2 linked regions of the Bombyx mori genome follow. The protein of the gene in region 1 purifies or fractionates together with the protein of each later gene. This does not show direct contact. Links are inferred from orthologs where the notes say so. Each region holds a gene or a part of one and is shown in the gene's direction. Other genes may lie near its edges.

Region 1 (4,434 bases):
AAGTATAACTTCAAAAAGTGAAGTCGAATATTTGCAGTTTTAACTTTTTATGTATTACTTGTAATTGGTTACTATTTATGTTTAAGAAATTTCCTTGCTAAGATTTCTCCATGTAATTAATGCTAGAAACTGTAGTCTAGTGAAGGAAATTCTATGATCGAGACAAAAAGTATGTAATTTATAAATGTAATAGAAGGAAAATCTTCAAAAGTATTCTATTTAATTTCCTCGGAGACTAAATTCTATGTATGTTATAATATAAACAAGTTCATCTTTTTTTAAATTCGCTTCTAAATTTCGATCCAGTTTCAAATAACAACGATGCTAAATAACTTATAACATAAAAAATCCGAACACAAAAAAATCTAGAGAATTTTACTGTTGGTAAGGATCTCTTGTGAGTCCGCACAGGTAGGGACCACCAACTTGCTTATTTCTGCCGTGAAGCAGTAATGCGATTCGGTTTGAATGGCGGGGCAGCCGTCGTAACTATACTTGAGACCTTAGAACTTATATCTCAATGTGGGTGACGCATTTACGTTATAGATGTCTATGAGCTCCTATCTGGACGATAAGACGAAGTGAGAGGGTAAAGATCGACGCTTTTGAAATGTGGTGTTGGAGACGGATGTTGCAAATTCCATGGACAGCACGCCGGACCAACCTGTCCATTCTTAAGGAGCTCGGTATTTCCACAAGGCTGTCCGCTATCTACTTCCAACGTATTCTCGCGTACTTCGGCCACATCGCTCGTAGAGGCCCCGATAACTTGGAGAAGCTGATGGTAGTTGGTCAGGTTGACGGGAGAAGATCACGCAGACGCTCACCTACCCGCTGGTCTGATCTGGTTAAAACACTCACCTGCCTGCGAATAACCGAGGCTATCAAGACCGCCGAGGACAGGAAGACGTGGGGAAGCATTGTGCATCGAGTGGTCCACACTTCAGACTAGACACGACCTTCAGCAATGAAGAGACCGACTCAGAAGAAGATGAGCTCCAGTAACCACTTAAAACCAGGTGGACCGTGAGCTCGTCCACCCATCTAAGCAATTAAAAAAACACGATCCACTGTTCTAATTACTTATAATTATAGTGCAGTAATAAAACAAGATATCGTCACTAGAGGGGTACTCCCTACGCTATGTTATCAAACCCCTAATAATATTTCTGCCCAACGAAACCAACACAAAAAACCGTTGACCGTATAATATAATGTCCATAAAAACTGACATTGGAACGTCAAAAAAGAAAATACCATAAAATTATAGTTATGTTCCTTGGCGTTATGCGTTGAATTTTTCGCCATCGATTTCCCTCAGCGCATGTCAAATTTGGCATCACCCAGTACAGCGCCGCGGTCGTCGCGTTTGCACGTGTCCCACTGTAACACGTAGCCAGATATAATGTAATGTTGAATTAATAAATGTAAACCGTATTACACATTCCGTTCGTATTATTAGCGGTTATTTCAAAAGGAGTTTTACGGATCATCGAATGTCCACAGAGGTAAAGTAAAAATTATCTATATATGAAAATTATTTTGTATAAGTTAGCTGTAACGAATGCTTTTGTCGCCGATGCCATAGTTTTTGTCTAACAAAATACTCTTGACGTTTTCAGGATTATGTAAATTAAAAAGGGCGAAGCCATTAGCATTTAATTCGGGAATTAAATCTCTTTCATTAACATGATGACGATATTAAATGTATATTGGGTATTTTAATTTTTGAATAACTTAACGAAACAGCCTTTGAATAATTCTAGTTCATAAATTTTCCTTTTTCCTATATTTTTTCTTGATTCAATATATTAAGACTGTGGTCGGAGTTAATAACAACATATCAGTAGTTTTTATTACAAATGCAGGTGTCATAAAAAATAAGACACGATAAATTTTAATTTAATGTATTTAATATTTATGTAAAATTAGATTTTATAAGTAATTTAAGTAAATAAAGGAAGGGCTGGAATTTAGTACAAAAAAAAAACGAAAACAATATTACACTTTATTAAGGTATTTATTTACATAGTGAATTATTGAAACCTTAAAAATTTCAATTATTAATATATCAAAATTTGAAAACTATTATTTTCTACAAGAAAAAATGTAGCTCACAAAACCAAAATTTAATACGTAAAATGAATTTAAGTCTTGCGGCGTCAGTGATTAATGTCGAATTTCAAACGCTGCGAACACCTAGTGGATATTTTCTTTAGAGTTTTCTTTAAAAGTCAGACGTTTAAAATTAAAACATGTACCACAGAGGAAAGATTAAAAGAGTAGATACGAGCAAAACAAGAACCAGGCAATATTCGTATTGGATTTGGGTCTTTCTTGTCCTCTTTCTTGACTCATTTAATCTGATTCTTGGATTTCATTTAATATTCTTAATTAAGTACATTATAACAATTTTTTAAAGGCATAGATTGGGAATTGTACATAATCACTATTTCAATAATAACATTTATATAGTTTTCTTATATACACATATATAGGTACATACATCACTTGTATTAATATATTTAGTATTCTTTTAATTGATGTCCATGAATTAACGCGTCGAGCCGACTTTTTATTCAAGAAAATTCTTGACAGATTAAAATTTTCAAATAGCTGTAAAGATTAATGCTTTTTTAAACATTCAGTGTTAATATCTACTGAAGTACATTGGAAATTTTTAATAAAAAAAAACAAGACTTGTTCCCACAACAAATAAAATTGTATATTCAATTGTTACGACAAATTTTAATTTATATTTTCTAAGGATTTTTTTGTTCAGTCTCGTAAATTCAGATGAACGCAGCGCTTCGCTTCGTCGGGGGTGGTGTTAAGCAGGATGGTCTTTTAAAATGATTTCCCTGAATTCCTACATAGAATGTAACTTACTGTAGAAAACACAGATAGAACCGAAGTTCATGGGGTGCCAGAAAACAACCGATAATTAGAACAGTCAATCTTTTACATATGAATGTCGATTTAAATAGATATTTTATTGCTTAGATGGGTGGACGAGCTCACGGCCCACCTGGTGTTAAGTGGTTACTGGAGCCCATAGACATCTACAACGTAAATGCCGCCACCCACCTTGAGATATGAGTTTTAAGGCCTCAGTAATTACAACGACTGCTCGACCCTTCAAAGCGAAACGCATTACTGCTTCACGGCAGAAATAGGCAGTGCGGTGGTACCTACCCGTGCGGACTCACAAGACCGCCTACCACCAGTACCTAATTACCCAAATGATAATTTTGCGGGTTTGATTTTTATTACACGATGTTATTCCCTCACCGCGGATGTCAATCGTGAACATTTATTACGTACGTATTTCATTAGAAAAATTGGTATCTGCCTACGGGATTCGAACACCGGTGCATCGCTACATACGAATGCACCGGACGTCTTATCCTTTAGGCCACGACGACTTCAAAACATTCAGATTATTTTCGTTGCTAGCTATTCGATTTCGTTCAGTCATGTTTATTGTTATTTTAATTTTTATCTTATGGAACGATGTTTTTAAATTCAAATTTGTTTGAGATGATCGTCTTTACGTCTTTTTTATATTCAATCGGAGCAACGCTCAGGCTTACTGCATGGAAATGCCACGAAAATTTCTTTACTGCTAAGGTACTTCTACCGCCATCGGAGCAGGATTCATCCATATTATCTGGAGCCGCTGCGTTCATCGACAATGCGTTTCCAAAGATCTTTTTTGCCACGTACCATCCGACTTTGGAGTGAACTCCCCTCCACGGTGTTTTCCGAGCGCTATGACATGTCCTTATTCAAACGAGGCTTGCGGAGAGTACTTAATGGTAGGCAGCGGCTTGGCTCTGCCCCTGGCATTGCTGACGTCCTTGAGCGACGGTGACCACTTACCATCAGGTGGGCTGTATGCTCGTCGTCCTACAAAAGCAATAAAAAAAAAGGTAGATCACAGTTCATTTGGTGTTAAGTACTTACCAAAGCCCATTGACATTGCTAATAACATCGCAACATCCACCTTGTGAGACATGAGATTTAAGTCTCAACTCTGATGAGTTAAAACCGGCAGTTCCCATCATGGGTTTCATTCAGTGACCGATTTGAACTAGATGTGTCTTTTGCTCAAACCCGACTTACATCGCGGCGTAGGTACATAACTCTCAAATGTTTAATCTTCGCCCTAATGCATTCTGTATCAAATATTAACGTCTTACTGGTGGTAGGACGTCTTGTAAATCCGCACGGGTAAGTACCACCATTCCACCAAGTGCCTATTTCTGCCGTGAAGCAGTAATGCGTTTCGGCTTGAAGGGTGGGCTAGTCATTGCACTATACCGCGACCTTAGAACTCATATCTAAATTGGGGTGGCGGTGTTTTCGTTGTAGATGTCTACGGGCTCCGGTAACCATTTAACACCAGTTGGGCTGTGAGCTCGTTCACACTTC
Region 2 (3,832 bases), on another chromosome or scaffold:
TAGCACATTATTATTTTATAAAAAGTTATAATGGCAGAAACATTAAACTCGTTCAAGGAAAGCCACGACGAGGGGTAAATAAACTTCGAACCATGTAAATCAGCAAAGGTTCGCAATGTGCTTAATATTCGAGCTGGTGACTGGATAGGGAATCTAAAGTGCTTTGTGACTTTTGTGTGAGCGTGTTTTGGGCCCTAAGAAGATGACGTTTCAGTTTTTCGACATAATTGTTGCAAAAAAGCAAACGCTCACTCCGAACTATTGCGGTATCCTGGGGTTACGAGTTGGTATTGCTGCTCAAACGAACTTCAGATAATCGACGACCAACGATGCGTTCCTTGGGGCTAGATTAGTGGAGAGTTCCGCTTTGTGCTAATCACATCACCTTTCCAGCTCCTGTACCTATATGTTGATTTCTTTCTTATATCAGGGTTGAACGTGAATTGTTGAGAGATGTCAATTCAACTGCGACACAACCGTTTACTGCCCTTTAACCGGTAGGCGGAAGCCCAACGAACGCCCCCTGACTCAAACAAAGTGCATTTAATAAAATAATAATAATAAACAATCCCGGTAGGAACAATCCCTCGCAATATATTGAGACAGGGAGATTATTTATCAAATAAAAAAAACTATTCACATCAATATTAAGCTACAGACAACAATGATTCGCGTTTTCATCTATTCCGATCCGACTAACCTCTGGGTATACAGAGGCTTTACTTACCGCTGTTGCTTAGAGGAATTCATCTTCCCCTCTTAGAAAATTGAATTTTAATAATAACGCGCTCCATCAGCCTGTTTTCAGCGGAATACATTTGACCCCAAAAACATACAATTGTAAATTCGATGTAAGCCTTACCTAATGTTAATATTATAAGATTCGTTCTCTAGCTTAGATCTCTAGCTTAGCTTAGCTTAATCGAAGCTAACGAAGAAGTTAAATTAATGTAATTACTCATCTTTACAGTCACATAACAAAAACGACGACATGGGATGATCCGCGGAAAACTCTCGCAGCGCAGAACGTGGCCAACACTGTCCAGCATCAAGCCGCCGAAGCCCTGCTCAATCAGAACGCACAACAAACCATTACCAACACAGCCACACCTGGTAAGAATATAGCGATCTTTGTAAACAAAATTTACCTTTTATTAACCTGAAACTGTTCTTATACTACCTACTCAATTCTTTAAGCGACTTATACTGGTGGTAGAACCTCTTGTAAGTCCGCACAGGTAGGTACCACCACCCTGCCTATTTCTGCCGTGAAGCAGTAAAGCGTTGCGGTTTGAAGGGTGGGGCAGCCGTTGTAACTGTACTTGAGACCTTAGAACTTATATCTCAAGGTGGGTGGCGCATTTACATTGCAGATGTCTATGGGCTCCAGTAACCACTTAACAACGAGTGGGCTGTAAGCTCGTCCACCCAGCTAAGCGATAAAAAAAGCAATTCTTTGTGACGTATATAGTAGGTTCCTTTATAAACTTTTGACAGTGCTTTTTAGATAACGAAGATTTAAATAGAATAGAAATAGATATTTTGTCAAAAACCAATTCACTACGTACCTTGAACTTTTATTACGCTTCAGTCACAAATGGTTATTTTATGTACCCTATTGATAATGTGATATACATAATTAAGATCGAATTAACGAAATTAGGGCCACCGTGACGATTGCAATTCTTAATATTTTATAAACACGATTTTTTTATTTACAATAATCAGCATTAAAAATACATAATATTTAAAATTTCTTAATAAAAATTATAAAAATAGATCTGTGTTTACGTCAATTAAATGTTTTGGTTTTCGCTCTTCGTTCTATGACTTATGAAGTTTTAGGGTTTTCCAATGTATAATTTAATTACCAACTTTCCTTATTGTAGTTAATTCATTGAGGATACTGAATTAAAATAATATTGATCCGTTAATAAAGTGAGATGTATGAAGAGTTATTTAAAGTCTGCGTGGGTGGGCCTTAGACCATTGGAATTGATTGACTAGAATTATTTCATTGCGTTAAAAGTAATTGATTAAGAAACAGTAATTTGAACACTGTACAGTAACTATTTTATTTTTTTTTTTTTTTTTTTTTTTTTTTTTTTTATTTATTTAAGGTCGCTTTTTAACAACTAGGGTCATTAACGACCACAGTTTACAGTATCATTTTAAGTTACATTGACTTCAACATCATACTAAATTATACAAACCAATGATCTTTAAAAAACTAAGGGTCTGTTTATACCCATCTTGAGTCAGACAGTCTGTTAAATTATCAGGGAGCTTACAAAATTGTCTTTCTATGTCATATGCTTTACATTCAACTAACAAGTGTACCACAGTTTGATCCAAACCACACTTACATTTGTTTTTATCTGTTTTGGTAATAAGATGTATATGAGTTAAATTTGTGTGTCCAATCCGCAATCTTGTAAGAACCACTTGGTCTTTTCTTTTAGTTAAGGAAAAGGAAAGCTTATCAAAAATTGAATTTCTAATTTTAAATAAAAATGATGGGTTCTCAAATTTCCACTGATTATCCCAAAGAGTTTTAATTTTGAACTTGAGATGTTTTTGAACATCTGATGCAGTGGAAATGATTAGCTGTACCTCTTCAAAATCACTTGTTGCATTTTTAGCTTCCTGGTCAGCCTTTTCATTACCGGCTATTCCTTGGTGACTTGGAATCCATATAATTTCAAATTTGTAACTTTCTTTTAATAGATCTACCATTTTTTTTTTAATTTCTAAAATAAGATTATTTAAGTTGTTTGGGTTTTTTAACGCTGTCAAACATGATTTCGAATTAGTGTATATTATGTATTTGTCTGTATTAGGTTGACTGTGTATTAATTCTAAGGCCTTAAGGATAGCTATTCCCTCACAACTGAAAATAGAATTAAAATTTACTAGTCTATACCTGTAGTAATTATCAGCAGATACTACTGAACAACCTGAATGTCCATCTTTTACAGAACCATCTGTGTAATAAATTTTGTAACCTCTATATCTATCATTAATTTCACAAAATAAGTTTTTATATATACACTGAGGGGTATCACCTTTTTTATAGTTGGCTAATTCAAGGTTAACTGGCAATTCTAAGTTTTCCCATGGACCAGAAGTAAGTAGTTTTTTTGTAAATAATTTTGGAATTTTAAGATTTAATTCATCTAAGTATTTGACTGCTCTGATTCGTAAGGGTTGAGATAAATTAGGTTGGAGTTCATATTCAGTGTCAACTGCTGTTACTTTAGTGTAATAATGGTAGGTGGGATTTTCAGGTTGAGTTAATATATTTGTTATATATGTAAGCATAAGTTGTTTCCTTCTAAATTCTAATGGCATTTCACCAGCTTCAACTAGGATACATTTAATGGGGCTTGTTCTAAAACCACCAATACTTAGACGAAGAGCAGTATTCTGGATACTTTCTAAGGAATTTAGTGTTCGTTTTTTGGCGGAATCATAAATAATGCAGCCATAATCTATCTTCTGCCTGATCAGAGTACGATATATATTAATTAAGCAACTTTTTTCTGACCCCCATCCAGTGGACGATAAAGACTTTATTATATTTAGTCTTTTATAACATTCTGATTTAAGGTTATTTATGTGTGTATTCCATGACAGTTTTTTATCAAATATCAAACCTAAAATTTTTAAATTGCTTACTTCTTTAATACTATGATTATTTAAGGTTAATTGTGTGTTTCTAAATACTTTTCTTTTATTTGTAAATATCATAAATTCCGTTTTTGTTTTAGAAAATTTAAATCCAACTCTTTCTGACCATTCCTGTAAATTATTAAGTGTATTTTGAATAAGC

The links.
Region 2: the proteins of uncharacterized protein LOC101740701 (region 1) and YAP65-like protein purify together in Homo sapiens (affinity purification with mass spectrometry; 6 studies listed by BioGRID and IntAct, with this or other methods). This does not show direct contact. The link is inferred for Bombyx mori from reciprocal best matches to the Homo sapiens genes MPDZ and YAP1.

What each region holds. Positions count from the first base shown.
Region 1 is NC_085134.1:2,048,410-2,052,843, forward strand, and holds the start of uncharacterized protein LOC101740701, read left to right. Parts: upstream 1-1,343; 5' UTR 1,344-1,508; intron 1,509-4,434. UniProt on the Homo sapiens protein: Member of the NMDAR signaling complex that may play a role in control of AMPAR potentiation and synaptic plasticity in excitatory synapses. Promotes clustering of HT2RC at the cell surface.
Region 2 is NC_085111.1:12,002,340-12,006,171, reverse strand, and holds part of YAP65-like protein, read left to right. Parts: intron 1-970; coding exon 971-1,113; intron 1,114-3,832. UniProt on the Homo sapiens protein: Transcriptional regulator with dual roles as a coactivator and corepressor. Critical downstream regulatory target in the Hippo signaling pathway, crucial for organ size control and tumor suppression by restricting proliferation and promoting apoptosis.